Linked DNA regions of Drosophila melanogaster. The gene in region 2 interacts genetically with the main gene of each other region. Each region holds a gene or a part of one and is shown on either strand. Other genes may lie near its edges. The genes, in order: Rnb and Hr51.

Evidence for each region.
Region 1: of Hr51 (region 2) and Rnb, changing one enhances a phenotype caused by changing the other (phenotypic enhancement), as found in Drosophila melanogaster (one study listed by BioGRID).

The regions. Positions count from the first base shown.
Region 1 is NT_033777.3:29,793,194-29,802,747, forward strand, and holds Rnb (R and B), read right to left. Parts: upstream 6,162-9,554; 5' UTR 6,077-6,161; coding exon 5,915-6,076; intron 5,809-5,914; coding exon 5,716-5,808; intron 5,639-5,715; coding exon 5,045-5,638; intron 4,988-5,044; coding exon 4,649-4,987; intron 4,584-4,648; coding exon 4,377-4,583; intron 4,301-4,376; coding exon 3,753-4,300; intron 3,692-3,752; coding exon 3,616-3,691; intron 3,558-3,615; coding exon 2,649-3,557; 3' UTR 2,506-2,648; downstream 1-2,505. Other genes in the region: sro (shroud), read left to right, coding at 1,443-1,558, 1,614-2,505; Drice (death related ICE-like caspase), read left to right, coding at 6,705-7,724; Etfb (electron transfer flavoprotein beta subunit), read right to left, coding at 8,756-9,466.
Region 2 is NT_033778.4:15,327,992-15,336,492, reverse strand, and holds the start of Hr51 (hormone receptor 51), read right to left. Parts: upstream 5,169-8,501; 5' UTR 4,893-5,168; coding exon 4,847-4,892; intron 2,917-4,846; coding exon 2,526-2,916; intron 410-2,525; coding exon 306-409; intron 1-305. Other genes in the region: CG8160 (uncharacterized protein), read left to right, coding at 8,249-8,260, 8,318-8,501.

The DNA.
Region 1 (9,554 bases), on a different chromosome or scaffold from region 2:
TCGTTAACTCTAATGTTTTTGTATTATTATCTTTATTATGGTTAATTTATGATTTCGCTATGTCTTTTACATACGCCGAGGAGCTATGTACATATGTTATGTACTTGTAATTTGTGCAATTTTCAAACCTCTTCATTGCGCGTTGTATATTTTCAAAAAATATAAGAACGCGAACGCGAACGCGAACGACCGACGATGCATGATGAGAATGATAAGGATAATGATGATAATAGGGCGTGTAGATTTGCAGGATGCGTTGTGATATTTATTATAAAACGAATACAAAAGATGCGAGGATGAAACAAAGTAGAAAGCAAACAGGAGCGTCTAATGAAAGGAACTAAGCCGGTTTTAAAATTGTACATTTAAACGAATCGTAAAGCGTAAATATACTATAAAACAAAACAAAGTGAATATATATTCAGCATACAAACTAAATACAATGCCTTGAGAGAGAATTAAGAAATGCAAACCTTTATATATAGAGATCTACATACATATATGTATGCATGTACATTTAAAGCTAAACAATAATGGCGTTGAAGCGAGTTTTATATTGAGCAAAAGCAAATGTGAAATGAGATAAATATACTTATTGTGTACTCTGTAAGCTGCAGTAGAAACCAAAATATATTTTTACTAAACGCAACATTGCGCTATTTTCAAATACCATTTATAAGAAATGACAAAAGCAAAGCAATTATTTAATATGTAATTATGTATTATGTATACCTATATCTACCTACCCACAACCTTAAATCAAAAAACCCAAAACGATTCAACAAAAGCTGATCAGGTAAAGCAACTCTCGCCAGTTTCCACACTAAATTCTCAGAATATTCAAAATTTTAATCTATACAAAACCAAACCGATTGATAGCAAATAAATGCACTTATAAGGGCAGAAAAACACCAAAATTTAAAAATGAAATGGAATAAAATAGAAATAAAAAGACCGACAAAACCTAAAGACGATTTGTGGAATTATTTCTGAAGTTATAGCGATTCACATGACTTGCAAATGGGCTGGCTCGTCGTCAGGTAAACATATCAGGTAGATTAGGGTGGACCAACAAAGGCTGCATTCTCAATTTCTGCAGACTTCTTCAAGCGATTTGAAGTACTTACTTATGGAAGTAAACCTCATTGAGAAAATGGCTCTAATGTGAAAATGCGATCATTCAAGTTATGAAAACATTATGAGATAGAAACACCTAGTTGCTGCCATAAAGACCAGTCTGAAGGGCAGGTAAACGCAGCCGTGTTCTTCCACTCGTCTGATAATGGCACAAACGAGTATATATGTACATACAACACACGCTGCATATATTCATTTTCGGGTTTGCCTTATTTTGCATTTTTTTTTGTTTTTTTTGGGATCTGTTGCTTTCGGTGCAGCCACGAATCGCGGATCTCTGTTTCAGTTACTCGAGAAGCGGCGATATGAGCGGCAGTCAACTTCTTCGCGCCCTGCGACGATCCCTGGGATTGGGCAGGCAGCAGCTGAAGGTCGATAGCCGGCATGTGGTGCTCATCACGGGCTGCGATTCGGGATTGGGGTAAGCTAAGCGAAGCGGGAGCAAGTGGAGCCTAATAACGCAATGATCTCGATAGCCACTCCATGGCAGTTTACTGCCACGAATCGCTGCACATGACCGTGATTTCCTGCTGCCACAACATCAAGTCGGAAGGAGCTAAACTGCTGCAGGGCCTAGCCTCGGCCAAGGATGGACTGAGCAGAATGCACACCTTGGAACTGGATCTATTGGAACCCGATTCCATTCGCCTGGTGCATCGCCAGCTAAGGGACATACTGGCCAAAGACCCCAGCTATCGGCTGACGGCACTGATAAACAATGCTGGAGTAATGTGCTTCGGGGAATTCGAGTGGCAGCTAACGGAGCAGATCGAGGCGCAGATCAACTGCAACCTGCTGGGCACCATGAGGCTGACACATGAACTGCTGCCCCTGCTCCGGCAGCAGCAGGGCAGGATCATCAATGTGACCAGCCACTGCGGATTGCAGGCTCTGCCGGCACTGGGTCCTTATGCCGCCTCCAAGGCAGCCCTTCGCTTCTGGACGGATTCACTCCGCGTGGAGCTGCAGCAGTATGGCATGGAGGTGGTCAACTTCATACCAGGCTCCTTCGTCCTGGACAGCAACATTGCGGCCAGACAGCAGCAGCATGCTCAGAAGATGCGCGAAGCCTTCAGTGCGGAGCAACACGCTCTGTACGACACTTACTTCGAGGCCTTCAATGGTTATCTGAAAGTACTGAGCGGCTTCAAGCCGCCCAATCGCCTGAGGAACGAGTCGCTGCTGGCAAAGTTTAAGGATGCATTGACCAGCTCACAACCCTTGGCTCTGTACATCGAGGAACCCCGTAGATATCGCCTCTATCGCTGGCTCTTTACGCTCTGCCCCACTCCGCTAGTGGATTGGCTCACGGTGCGTTTCTGCGCGATGCCCACCTACGAGTCAACGAACAGGCAGGAGAAGATTTAGATTAATCCGTAGTCTATACATTTTAAATATACATTGTAGCACATTGGAATACTTGGCTAAGGGCTGTGGCAAATAAAACGAGCTGAATCCAGGGAATGGAAAACGCCAAAATGTGATCACAGAACGCAACTGGGTGGTGGTGTCTAGAAGACATAGCCGCGACAGCGCTCGAACACCGCATCGTTGAGCAGCTGGAACCACTCGCTGGCATAGGTGGAGTCCTCCGCTGCCCGGAACAGCTGAAGCTTTTCCTGCGCGGGCAGCGCGGAGCAGAGATAAAAGCTGATGGCAGTTTCCGTCAGGTCGGCATGGTAGTTCTTCAGCGCCCACTCGAGCAGGCGCAGGCAGTTGTGTGAGTCCAGGTACTGGATGAGTCTTTGCTGCAATACCGCCTCCATATCGGGCATGATGTACACGCGGGCCATCTCGTAGGCCTGCAGCAGGGCGGGGTAATCCGGCTCGGTTAGATGCCGCTCCTGGCACACGATTAAATGCAGAAAGTAGCGCAGTCCACTGGCAGTGTAATCTGGCAGCTGAATCTCGCCTTGGTGACCCTCGCGGAAATCACTGTTGAGCATCTTGTTGAACACTTCGCTGGTGTCGCAGAGCAGCTGCTTATTAAACCCAATGGAGGTGGAATCCGCTCCATGACCAACGAGGAATCGCATGTCGCAGTTGGCGTGCAGCGGTGCGGTATCATTTGCAATTTGGTTGCAGATTCCTGCTGTACTCTCCGCTGGTTCGGCTTCTGGCATAACGATGCCCAGGGTATATCGCGCCATCGATGTCACCGCATCCGCCGCCTCATCTGCGTAGTGGTCCTCGGTCTTCTTGCGCAGCATCATGTCGAATAGCATATTCAGCGCATTGCCGTCGTACAGGAACTGATAGAGCAATCGATGGCTTTTAACTATGTAGGCCACCGAAATGGCGGCTCTCTGTTGGGATATCACATCGTCGCAGCGCAGGAGACGCACTAGCTCCTCCTTGCCATAATTCGATTCTCCCACATTGGTTAACGTCTCCAAGAAGGCGAAGCCGTCTTTGCGAATCTGAAATATACGTGCGGTGTTAACTGTGATGAACATTAGATGAATGGGCTCACTTTACCTCCTTCAGCTTGGTAAACTGGTACAGTTGATGGACCACGCCATGCTTTATTATCTGGGCAAAGAACTGGCTCTCACTGAAAGGATATACGTGCAATTAGAATACATGCTTATCCTTAGTTCAGCTTGACAACTTACAGTAGAATATTTGTCAGGGCATTTGGGAAATTATTGTTCGATCCAAACAATTTGATGGCTCTAATCAGAGTGTCGAGCGTCTCTGGCTTTCCCAGCTCCACTCGCTTGTTCACCATCAGCGTGATGCGATAGATAAGGTTTTCTATTATGTCAATGGTGTTGCATGTTGTATTGCGGAACGGGGCTAGTTTCGGTGGTACATCCGAGCTCAGTTCCTCGAGATCCTCTTTGTCGGACAGCGGATCATCTATGGGTTCGCTGCCCTCCTCAATTAGTTTCAGTATATCCAGAACATTCGAAGGCTGCGAACGATTGGCGGCTATGCGCCGCTCTCTTGTGTCCAAATTGCTATTATTTGTGCTGTCATCCTCATCTTCGTCGTCATCACTGCACGCCGGAGAATAGTTGTCGTCGTCATCATTCGTCAGCAGATCTGTGCACACCGGTGACATGCTGCGCGAACTGCAGGGACTGGTTGTGCGATAAGACCTAGGTGAACTGCTCGGCGATTCAAAGTCCGATCCTAAGGTCTCGTGGGTTTTTGAGAACTTGTGTGCAAAAAGTGGGTATAATTAGCAAGTGGCTTGTAAACATATGCTAGCTGCTATGCTGCTAAATAAATACCTTGCTCAGCGTCTCTGGCGTTGTGGGATCCGTCAGTTTTCTTTTTTTACCACCTTGCAGTCTCTCGTCTCGTCGACGTTTGTGATGCTCATCATCGCTGGTCAGGTAATCGTTTAGTTCCCGCACCAACATGGGCATTAGTCCTTCATACAGCATGAGTTCCATGCTTAAGTTATCATATTGGAAGTTGTAAAGTATGTGAAATAGCTGTTGGGTATGAAGAAAGCCATTATATATAGCAGATGTCAAGAGGGATTTGGTTTCCATCTCACCGATGATCGCTCGCTCTGCGAGTTGGAGTCCCGGATCATGGCCACCAGCTTGCGCAGTGCCCCACATCTCCGGATCTTCGAGCGGCTGCAGGCATCGGTGGATAGCGTCAAGATTATGTTGATGCAGTGCCGGCTCTCGCTTTCGCTAAGTGGCTTTGCCATGTTCACAGCCATGAGCATCTCGCAGGCAGCCACAATGGCATCCGCAGTGCTCAGCATGTAGAAGGCGAAGGGATCCTTGCAGAAGTTAGAGAGGATTTTAAGGGCAGAGGCCCGTTGGTCGCCGTCCTCCTTTACGAAGCACACAATGGAGGCGAGCGAGGTATTCCAGGAAATGGACTAACAAGAAATGTTTATTATGTACTACGTTTTGGAGAACTTAGAAAACAGTCTCACCTCCCAAACTTTCAGTCCAATTTGCTGCGCGGATATCAGGACCAGACACTTCAGAATCTCGAGGGCCAGCTCAACGGCCGCTTCATTTTCCTTGGGCAGCGCATAGTCACAGTTCCTTGTGGAATTCTTGAGCATCTGGTGGTCAAAGATGTCACTGCGAACACCCTCCAAATTCCGGGCTACCTCCTCGAAATACTTCTCACGGTGCTGGTTCCTCTTCAGGCCAATCAGCGTGGACATCTCGATGTCCGGAACGGGCTCCTTGGATGCCTCTTCGTTCTTCATCACGGCCAGAAAAATTCGCATCAGCTGCTGGAACCCATTGGCCATGAGGAAGTACTTCAGGAACTGGCTGCTGGCCAGAAGGAAACGGCAGACGCGGAATGCCATGATGCGGGTCTGCACCGCACTGGTGGACTCAATGATGTGGCAGATGGCCGGTGCAATGGCCGCATAGTGCACTGTGAGACACTGGGACGCCTTCTTGCTCTTGGCGATGTTTCCAAGCATCCGGCAGGCGCGGCACTGGATCAGGGGATTAGGTATGGTCTTCAGAATGGTCACCAGCGGGTGAATCACCTTGCATTCAACAGCCTTAAAGTGGAAAGTTTTAAATTTTTTTAACCGTTGTGGTTCAAAATAAAGATAAAAATGTAATCTGATAATCCCACCTCAATGCAGGACTGTTCGTCGGTGCAGCAGTTCCCCAGTATGCTCAGTACCACCTCCATTATCTTTTCATTCAGCTTGGTGATCAGTCGCACCTGGAAGACGCAATTAATAATGATTTAAAAATCGATTCGAATAACGATCCTATGTGAGCGGCAGTGGCTGTCAAACCACCATGAGCGTTGTGACTCCCAAACCCACCATGATGTGAACGCCCCCAGCAGTGCGAAATAAAACAATGCCATTTTTATCCTTCACCAGATCGGTGCGCAGCTTCACCAGGCATTTGTAAATGACTGTTCGATCCGTGGAGGTCTTTAGCACTTCCAGCATGCTCTCCACTTGCTCTGGTGTCCAGAACATTGGTAATTTTCTTAATTTTTAAACAAATTGAAACAATTCAACAAATTCTACAGTGCGTCTCAAACCTCTTTGAGAGTGTGACCGTGCATAAGAGCGTATTTTACGGTATTTTACGTTATTTTTCGAAAATCCAGCAGCGGTCTGCCTTATTTATAAACTGATGTTTACGTTTTAGCTTTGGATGCGAATTCGATTCTACAATAATAAATGGAAGCAGGCCTGTTTTTTATGTAGATTATACAAGTTCCCACAAAATTACCTCCAAGCTTTTAATTTCAAATTATTTTAATATTTTTTAAAACCCATTTAATAATTTTTCCTATATTTATTTACTTTCTTTGTTTACCGTAATCGTGACACGAGGGCTGAAGTGTCATCACCAAATCAGGCGCTATTTGGTGTTTTTCAACTGCCAACAACGGTCTTACAGAATTAAAGACAAAAACGCAATCGACTAAAGTAATTAGTTAATAACTAGCTGTCTTTGTTGCGCGTAAACACGGACTTTCCCCAGAACGAAGCTAATTTGCCCAAGTCGTGCATCCAAGCTTTTCACAGATTTGGAAAAACCTGTTTCGCAGTGCTTGTGACTCATCAGTTTTCGCAGGCTCAAGGAGAGAACTTAGCCATGGACGCCACTAACAATGGAGAATCCGCCGACCAGGTGGGCATCAGGGTGGGCAATCCGGAGCAGCCCAACGATCACACAGATGCCCTGGGCTCCGTGGGATCCGGAGGAGCGGGTAGCAGCGGCCTGGTCGCAGGATCCTCGCATCCTTACGGCAGCGGAGCCATTGGGCAGCTGGCCAACGGGTACAGCTCACCCTCGTCCAGCTACCGTAAGAATGTAGCCAAAATGGTCACCGACCGCCATGCAGCCGAGTACAACATGCGCCACAAGAACCGCGGAATGGCACTGATCTTCAACCATGAGCACTTCGAGGTGCCCACCTTGAAGTCTCGCGCGGGAACCAATGTGGACTGCGAGAATCTGACTCGGGTGCTCAAGCAGCTGGACTTCGAAGTGACCGTGTACAAGGACTGCCGCTACAAGGACATTTTGAGGACAATCGAGTATGCAGCGTCGCAGAATCACAGCGATAGTGATTGCATCCTGGTCGCCATCCTGTCGCACGGCGAGATGGGCTACATCTACGCCAAGGACACACAGTACAAGCTGGATAACATCTGGAGCTTCTTCACGGCCAATCACTGCCCCTCGCTAGCCGGCAAACCCAAGTTGTTCTTCATACAGGCCTGCCAGGGCGACAGATTGGATGGCGGAGTGACCATGCAGCGTTCTCAGACGGAAACCGATGGCGACTCCTCGATGAGCTACAAGATTCCAGTGCACGCCGACTTTCTGATCGCCTACTCGACGGTTCCTGGATTCTATTCGTGGCGCAACACCACCCGCGGCAGCTGGTTCATGCAGAGCCTGTGCGCCGAACTGGCGGCCAATGGCAAGCGGCTGGACATCCTGACCCTGCTCACATTCGTGTGCCAGCGGGTGGCCGTGGACTTTGAGTCCTGCACCCCGGACACTCCGGAGATGCACCAGCAGAAGCAGATACCCTGCATAACCACCATGCTGACGCGCATTCTGCGTTTCAGCGACAAGCAGTTGGCACCAGCCGGACGGGTTTGATGGCTAATGGTATGGATCAAACGGTGGGTACGGCGAGGTGTGTGATAAACCAAGTCGCAATTAAGTTAGAACCTCATGGGCTATCGGCCTTGCAGCATATTTTTTATACAACACTTTTTTAACCTGCCCAATTGCTCGACGAGATTGGTGCCACTGCCCGTTTTATTTTATTTAGGCACAAAGTATCTTTCGATTGACATTTATTAATGTCGCATTTACTCGTCTGTATTTATATTTTTTGGGGTGGGTAGAGTAGATCGATTTAACTTAGAAATCTAAGAGGTTTTTACTCCGGCCAAAATTTTTTGACAATTTTAACTTGCCAACTGAACAAAGACGATCTCAAAATTTTAAATTCTCTACTAAACCTTATCATAGAACAACTTGCGCCTCTTTGATTCTCGATCAGGAATGTCGGCCCACCCTTATCTATATCTACCTTAGACCATTTACAGACAAGACCTTTTTACAATTTTATACACATAGATATCTTTATAGTATAAGCCTGTGTGTCATGGTCGTCCAAAACGAAAACAAACGATTTTAGCCTGTAGTCGAGTGTTTTATGAACAATATATACTATTTCTATGCCATTTGTACTCTTATATAATGCACATTAGCAAATGTTCTCCTTTCAAGTTAACCGCTAATAAATCCGATTGAAAACAATGAGAAATCAATGACCATTGGCTGTTTGCTGTTGACCCTGTCGCCTCTTTTGGGCGCCAAGTTGAGCGGCATTTCCCGAAAAGGTAGCACGCGGAGACGGAAAAATAGACGAGTCCAGCCATTGGCTGACCCTGATCGTACGATTTCAGAGCTTACAATCACTTTATTCTTAGAGCTGGACACAACGAGAATAAATTCCAATTTATAGTTCACTTAAAGCACACGGGTATGGGTTGAATTCAGAGAAATTTAAAGCCTGTCAGCAAATCCGACTCTCCGGCTAGATAAATGCACGTTTCTGATAACTTTCGACTAATTAAAAACGTAGAATATGCGCTCACAATTTTCTAGTTGAGGAACATCTAGATGTGGCCGCCCTCCTTTAGCTTGGCCACCAGGGCATCCACGTCGGCGACGGTGGCGCCGGCCTGGCGCACAGGAGGATCCTCCACGGAGATGACCTCGATGCGGGGCGAGGTGTCCACGCCGAGATCCTTGGCCGTAACCTTCTTCAGCGGCTTCTTCTTGGCCTTCATGATGTTCGGCAACGTGGCGTAGCGAGGGGTGTTCAGCCGGAGATCGGCGCTCAGCACAGCCGGGGTCTTGGTCTTGATTGTCTCCAGGCCACCATCAATTTCACGCGTGATGGTCAGACCGGCGTCTGTCTTCTCGATCTTGTTGCAGAAGGTGCCCTGCGGCCAGTCGAGCACGGCGGCGGTCATCTGGGCCGTTTGGTTGGCATCATCGTCGATGGCCTGCTTGCCAAGGATGACCAGGTCGGCTTTTTCGTCAAGAGCCAACTTGGCCAGAATCTTCGACACGTGGATGGGCTGCAGAAGCTCGTACTCGGCGGCCGGGATCTCTACGTGGACGCCGCGATCGGCGCCCATGGCCAGGGCGGTGCGGATCACCTCCTGCGACTGGGCCGGGCCCACGGAGACGGCGATCACCTCCTCGGCCAGCTTTTTCTCCTTCAGCTTCACCGCCTCCTCCACGGCGATCTCGTCGAAGGGATTCATCGAGTGCTTCACGCCCTGGGTGACCACGCCAGTCTTGTCGGGCTTGACGCGCACCTGGACATGATAAATGTAACCTGAATTAGTTTAATTGCCGCTTAATTAAGGCGATTACGCAAAACAGAGCGCAACAAGTGATAAAAAG
Region 2 (8,501 bases):
GGAGTGGCAGCGGCAAAGCTGCATAAAATCTGTCAAAGACAACACGAGCAGCAGGTAGCAAATCAATTGGGTGAGCAATATGTAAATAAGGAGCACCCGCAACCCGAAGTGAGCCACCCTAAAATGAGGATGCTCCTGGCATGGGTTTACCGACGTGGGAAAGGGTTAAAGGGCGCACTGATCGGGGCCACGTGTTCCCGGGGCTTTTAAGGTCCTGTTAAAGACCAATTAAACGTGCTTCAGTTCATTAGAGCGAGCTGAGTTGTGATGCGAAGCGATATGATAAAGCAGTTGGTAATACGCACCGTCCTTGTTCATTCCCATTTGAAGGCACTTCTTGAGCCTGCAGGCCTGGCATTGATTCCGATGAGCTTTGTCCACCACACAGCGTCCCGTTCCCGCCTGGCAGCTGAAATGGTAAACAGAATCGATTAAAATAGTGCCAGGACATAATCAGGTTATCCTGATGAGCAGCTAACAAGATTTCTAGTGTCAAAAATTGCAACATTTGTTGATTTCAATGGCGAACACAAAACCTCAGACTCAGGCCAACCGAGCGGAAATCCAGCCACAAAAGCACTTCTGTATCTGCTAGATACAGGACCTGTTCCTCTCTTCCGTTTCATCGACCTCTCGCCCTTTGTTCTGTCCTGGTGGAACTTTAATCAAATCAGGGCTGAGTGCCATCCCTCCCACTCGAAATCCATCGAAATCCATGCAACCATTTTTAGCCCAGTCATCGCCTGCCCTTTTGCACACTAAGCCTGCGCCAAAATTCAAAGATGGCCAACGCTCCTAGAAATCTCTAGCCGTCCATTTCGTTTCCATTTTATGTGCTTCGTGGCGCCTTGGTAGGAAATCACTTAGCGAAATGTATCCTTGAGATACAGCCCTTGTCTACGTGTGTATATAAAATTGAGGTATTTTGTGTATGCAAATGTTAAATTTTCGTAAACAAATCAAGTAGATTGGATATGTGTGAATGGGCAGCTCATTCCTTTGGCATTCCAAGTTTTGTGTCTCTATAAAAATAATCACATAATATTGCCATTGCCCCAACCATCAAACATCCAGGAATAGACCATGAACGCATTTGTGTATACTAAAACTGGAAAATAAAGGACAGACTTTGGCTTTCATATTCTCTACAAATGATATACTTTTAAGTTAAATTGTCACATAAAATACATTTTTAAAGTAAATGAAAAATATAAGGGCATTTTTTCTTAGCCAATGAACAACAAATGAATAAAATCCATAAATTCCGTAGGCTATTCCTACAACCATAACAAATCGAATATATTTCTAGCATGTCCTTGGAAAATTCCTTTGACCACATTCGAAAGTTCTGATTGGAAGCAATTGATTATAATTGAAAACGGCTTAATGGGGCCACCGGAGACAAGGATATAAAAAGGACCAAGGGCCAGATTGACTCTGTCGCCCATCGGGAAACAAGTCACGTCGGTGAAAATATACACTAGACCTGTTATCCCTTTTCCATGTCTGGAGTGTATCCCTCGTTCACTCATTCCCGTGCAGGGGGAGAATGTTGCTCTATTTCATCCCGTAGAGCCGCACAGAACCGCCCCCATTTTTTGACTTTGTTGCGATTCGGCTTAGTCGATGGACGAAGATGTCGGGAGGGCGGATGGATGCGGGTGCTGGGCCACATTTGGCCAAGTGTTTTGCGCTTAAGCCCTCCATATCAATCTCATGGGACCAGGACACGGATATAGAGATTTCGACATTTGTGATTTACCGAGCCCGCTGGAAAGCCGCAGAGCAAAGCATGCATTACTGTATCATAACTTTATGTTTTTGCTGGCATTGATTCCGTCGTTTTGGATTATGGGATTTTTCTCTCTGATTTAATGATAATTGAAAACGCTCGACAAACTTTGATTCGCGCTTTTGCTTCTCTTCTCTTCTTTTTTTTTTTTTTTGTCAGATTTTGGAAAATTCCCACGTCAAAAGAAAAAGTTTTAAACGAATTCACTTTAAATTCAATTACATTTTAAGCTGCAATCCAGAGAGAGGGGAGCGAAAGTAAAGTGGCATTCGCACATGATGCCATTCTGGGCACAAAGTCAACGCGAGGGCAAATATGCGCATTCAAAAGTTGACGCTCAAATCCCAAAGATTTGAATAATTGTAATGAATTTGCCGGAGCTCCGTAATCCGCCAGACGAGCCTCCGGGCACAGCGGCCCACACCCATCCCGGCACCACCCACTTTTGGGCAAATGTTGCAACATTTAATGGAAATGAAATGGTAATGACTGGATTTGGGAGCATAGTTAGGGCTACACTGAAATAAAACTGGCACCACACATTTAAAATTCACAAAATGGGAGTGTTTGCAGGGGAGTATCAATATATGTATTAATGGTTTAAATTACTCTTTATGCCTATATGGCATAATTACTTTACTCTCTATATGACGTGTTAAGGAAGTCCTTTTTGTTATTTATAGTTTTTATTTCTAATTTGAGGTCCGCAAAATATCTTTCTGTGTGCACTCACCGATAAATGAGTTTCCGCCGCACGCTGCGTTTGAAGAATCCGGAGCAGCCATTGCAGGCTAGGATTCCGTAGTGCTTTCCCGAGCTGGTGTCGCCGCACACCACGCAGATGAGGCCCAGGTTCTGACCCTTAATCCGGGTCATCGATGAACCCTCCGCCGCCGACGAGTGGTTCATGGAGTTGGCTGCCGCTTGGGCTGCCGCCGCCGCAGCAGCTGCAGCGGCACTGTGATTCCAGCTCAGCAATCGACCATTGGGCACGTTTGGGGCGGCGGGATGAGGGGGCGGTGGCTGTGTGGGCGGGGCCACGCCCGTTGATGTAGGTGGAGGCGCCTGTCCGTGCATCGGCGCCGGCGGCGGAGTGTAGCAATGCCGCTGCGGACTGTGGAGTTCTAAAGTTATGAAGCAGATTAGTGAATGGTATCTAAGAGAATCGAAATTGTATCTTTTTGTTATCTGGGAAGTTACTACGGCTTTATTAAGATCATACAGTTGGGTTTATTAGCTCGTATATAGATCTTAAAATCAACGAATTGTGCAAGTGGTTAAAGCTTAGTTGGCGTTTAAATATTAATAAATATTCAAAATTGTTTATAAAACGGGAAAAATAGTATACATAATGTTTAGCTAATACTAGCAGAATGTAGAAATGTAATGTATAATTCTATACAATTTCCGCACTGTAGCTTAACATTTTTAAACTTAACGCGTAATGATTGTCCTTTAGCTATTCTTTTCATCGGCATATTAAATGATTAATCTCGTTCCAGCATAAGACATTTAAAATTTTCGACCAGACTTAAGACCAGTTTTCCCGGTGGTAATGGGTGGTGCAATAAAAAATCACTTATGCAGTTCATATAAATTAAATCCCAATTTGTCAGTTGTACCGGATTGCGGATGCAAAGGACCTGCCGATCTTATCCCTGCGTGGCGACATTGACGCCCTGTAATCCGCAAATATATTTACACATTCAATTAGGGTGCCATTAAGCCAAACGGCTCTCGACCAGAGCGTGCCGAGCAATCTGTGCGCCAAATTTGCCTCGGGGGACGATTGTTTTGCCATCACACCCTAATTTGATTGTAGTTTCCTTACTGATTTTTTGATGCACTTAACCCTCGACGTTCCAAGGACGAGGCTGAGGACACATTTGTAACACTCGCCACTTGGCTGTGCGCTCGACCATTTGGGTTCGTGGTTCTGGTTTGCGTTTGGGTTTGGGTTTTGCTCCTGCTTGGCATTGGAATGGAAAGACAAAGTCAGGCGGCCATTCAGCCGGGACCAACTGGCAGGACTGCGGTCCAAAGCCGGAGGATTAGCGTCATATGCTTGCATTTTCCGGGGCACCGGGGCATCTTTGTTAATTTTATGGGCTCGTTGAAATTCACTTTGGCGCACACAAAAGTGTTAAGGGCGCCGGGATGGCTGTGTTATGAATTTCTGACATTTTTGGCGGCCTGACTCGGAGTCTAATTCAATTTGGTGATTATCGCAAATTGAATTTGCCTGGCCATTCGTGCATGCCATCAGCAAGTTGGGCATCGATTTGATTTGAGTGTCTCCGCAGACAACTGGTTCCTGCAAATTGGTAATTAAAATTGCCAATGTGATTTCCGAGCAGAGCGATCAGAATCCGCTTGTTTCTTTTCATGTTTTAGTCTGGGCATTTTACAATTGATCCAGTCATTTCAACATATAAAAAGTTATACTTCTTAACATTATATTTAAATTGGTCACACAGCTATAAAATAGATTTTCTATTCAAATCGCTAAACTTATAATTGACGTATAAGAATTCGCTTAAAAAAGGAGTCATATCTGAATATCATAAAATGAATTGTTAAAGTTTTTTTTTTGCTAGGAACTCAATCCTTAAAATGTGTGTTAGTTTTCGATATAACATTATTATTTCGGCACTAATTACAACTCACATTTGAAACAATTTTTTCCGTCGGGTAATTAGAATGAAAAAGCTTAAATTTAATTTATATTACGATGCCAGTCGTTTTTTGTAATCTTTGCTTTCACATCCTTTCCGTTTTTTTCTTTAACATATCACTTTTTTTATTTTCCTATCTTATCCGTCCTAATTAATCGTGGGTGTAAGAAACGTAATTATATTTCACGCACAATTTCCCAACAAACGTGATATTGTCCTTTTTAAAATTTGTTGGTAAAGGAATTTTTAGCCACCATTAGGGCCATCTTGTATATTTATTTTTTTATGTATTTAAGTAAGGAAACCACACCTTTGTGTTTACAGCTTAATAAATATATTTCATCACCATACTCATGTTTTTATTAACACACTAATTTACCTTGAGAAGATGGTCGTGTTTCGGAGGAATTTTCTTCCTTATTCATTTTGTTGAGCTTTGGCGGACTGCGATTAAAGATCACACCTCGTTGAAAAGTTTATTAACAATTGACACTATTTGTAAGAATTTCTAAAACACCACTTTTAAATGGCACTTTTCGGGTTCATCGCAGTAGGCTCCATATTAATTTGCAATCGTGGAGAGGCGACGGCAAGTGGACGGTCCTCTGATTCCCGCTGATGAAACCGAACCAATCCGATCCGACGGCGCTGCGAGTGTGCCGCGATGATGATGTTAACGTCTCGATGTACGATTTCAGATTCCGGATTTCAGATTTATCATAAAAGCGTGACAGGAGCTAAACACTGATGTGTCCACTCCAGCAGTCGGCCAACCAGCCAACGGGCCAACCCCGGACTAGGGGGAAAAAACCATATCGCAGGATATAATCCGCGGTCGCTGAGTGGGCAGAGAAGTCCTTGCCGCGCGCGTGTGTGTGTGAGGACAAAAAGCACGGCATACACTGCACACACACACACATAGGAGCAGGAAGAGCAGAGAGCATCGAGCAGCGAGCAAGGAGCAGCGAGCGAAGGATAACCGCACACCACCCACCCACCAACGGAGACTTTTAGTGGCAACTCTGGTGGCGCATTTGCTTGTTGGCTTGCTTTGATTCGTTCCTTCTTGATGCTGCGGCAGGAGCTTGTCCTCGCTGTTAGTGTTAGTGTGTTGGTGTGCGGCCCTGCGAGTGTGGGTAAGCCAAGCCGCAATCGCAATCTCCAATAAACACCCGGCTCTGCGCTCTCTGCGCACACACACAAGCACACATACCAAGGCACTCGAAAGAGCAGAGAACGCCCGGTCGCCATCATGACTCAAAAAAGCTGAGCGACGGCGGGGAGCGGAAACGGAAGTGGGCGGGAGAGCGGAAGTGGAGCAGAGCAATGGTGGCGCCCCACCAATACAACCATGAAACGAATGACGCAGCTGCGCGGCTGGCGCTCGTATAATCGTCTTGGGTTTTGACATTTTGTTTTTGTTTTATAATACCCTTTGTGATGTCGGCGCTTTCGAGCTTGCGTCGTCCTGCCCCTCGATCCTTTCGCTAACAGTTTGGCCCCCCTCTTGACCCTCTGCCAACGACGTCACTCTTGGCCTCGTATTCTAACCGCCCCCTAAAAGCCCCAACTTCCACCCAGAAATTGCCGCCACCCAGTAAACTGTAATTGAATTGAAGAAGAAAATGTTTCTGCTGGTGTCTGTGGGTGTACTTGGATCTAAATCAAGAATATTTAAGTGCACATATAACCAAAAGAGTTTTAAATTATATATATATTATAATATACATATATTATCCTAATATTATAATTTGTTTGTTTTTAAATATTTTTCTAATTTGATGGGTGATTTTATTTAACTTTAATATCACAATCATGTTTCATTTACCTTCCTGATTTTATTGCAACAATTATATATTTATATATTTAGATATAGATATTTAGATTATTATTTGTACAAGAAATTAAAGTAAGAACCAAGGCTTGTATTAAATTAAGTTTTAACGAATTTTAAGAAGCCTCATAGAACCAGTCATTCAAGTTTGTGAACTGTTCGAGAAAATATGCTGAAGACAGAATATATATGCTCAGAAGTGGGTTTTTATATTTTAAAAAGTATAACCTTAAAATATTTATAATGTCAAACTTAATGTAATGTGTAAAGATGTTCTATCTAATGGTCTACGTAGTCTTATTTATGCATACACATTTTTATTTACTCTCTATACATTATAATTTTATGGATAAGAGAGCCAGAGCTAGAGGTGGTCCCGGGTCCACTAATCCAATAATCGATAAATGCTGCTCGCAGGACCAAAACGGGCGGCATGGGGGCTCCGTTGTGCTCCCCGATTTTGTTGTGGGGCTTTTGCCATGCTTAATGCGCCGACATTAACTTTGTAACAAATGAGATGTCGGAATACAACAGTCAGGATCCTGGCAAGCCACAGCCCCTCCCCGCAGCTCCCTCCCTTGCTCCTTTCACCGCTCCTTTCTGCAATCTCGCTCTCTTCGCGGGGGAGAAAGCTAGAGAGCAGCTGCGGCTGGCAGAAGTTTATGCTCGGGACAAAAGTGAACAAATGCAAAAGTCAAAGCGCTTTGCCAGCATGGCCACGCCCACCACGTCGAGGGAGGAGCGAACGAGAGCGAGATAGAAATACAGAGAGACAGAGCGACGTTATCCTGTAACAGACGTGCACGCAGGATGCCCGTCGGTGTGAGCGAGAGCAATGACATCGTGCGAGCAGGACGAGCAGAGACGACGGGGTTGGTTCTTGACATTTGAACGGCGACATTTCGCATCGCCAGGATACATACACGAATACTCGTACACTCACCCACACCGACAAATCTCTGCGAGTGCCACCCACTGGAGAGGGCGGTGGGTGGCAAGCCCTATCAAGTGCAGTGCACTTTATTTAATCAATCAAAATTCATGGACTGCCTCTTTTATTCAACATTCAGACACTTTGTATCTTTGATTTACGTTCCGGTAAAGCGGGATTACAAGGAATTGTATTTGTTAGTTACTATTGTATCTTTAAAACGTAAACGTTTATCTAACATTCTTAGTAACATAGTTAGTTTCATAAAATGAAATAAATATAATAAAATAAATAATAAAAAGTGTACACGAAAGTAAACATGTGCTGCTTATCGGCCAAAATGTAATCTCAAGTTTTTGTTCTATTTTGTTCTATCAAACCAAACACATATATACAAACTGTTTGAGATTACAAATTCACAAATAATTTATTTCTAGCTTATCTATAAATGGTTCTAAGCAAAATATATTGAAATGTATTCAAAAATTTATCACAAATTTAAAGCGTTGAATCGAGGCCATTAATAAAGTAACATTTTTAGCGACAATGAAATTTATACATTTTTTATTGCCCTTGCCCTTTTTACAAGTTGATTATACCACTTATTTTTAAGGCCAATACACTTGCTTAATCGCAGCATTCCCTGCCGTGTCCAAAATTTTGTTTTATTTTTCTACTAATCATTGACCTCAGCGCCATCAAAATTTGGGATTTTCCACAGGGTAGTCGAAGTTGATTAGGAATGTGTGCTTCTTAAGCGGATGTACCTACAATTTAGATTCTGGAATAGGGGAATGTTGAGATCCGGAAAAGTTATTGCTTAAATATATCAAAAAAGCCTTTCCTTTCAAAAGCAAGATACCCCCCAATCGATATCTACTATGACAATATAAACTGAATTAAAATCAATGACAGTCCATAACAGGTAACTAAATGTCGAAACGCAATGCCCACTAGCTTGGGTATAAAAGAAGACACTCTTTGGCATTGACTACAGTTCGAAAAAAAATATCAAGATGAAATTAATGGTGATTAAGCTAATGGTCAGTGAAGTTTACATAATCCTCAATTTATTTACCCTTTAGGTTGTCCTGTTCGCCCTGATGGGCATTACCTTGGCCAGACCGGGATACGACGGAGCAGCAACCGCCCAGTGGGGTTTGAGATCCGTTCCACAGAGCGGACAAAGTGGATACGGCAGCTCGCCAAGCGGATACGGCGGATCAGCTTCCCAGAGCGGGCAAGGAGGATACGGTGGCGGGCAGGGAG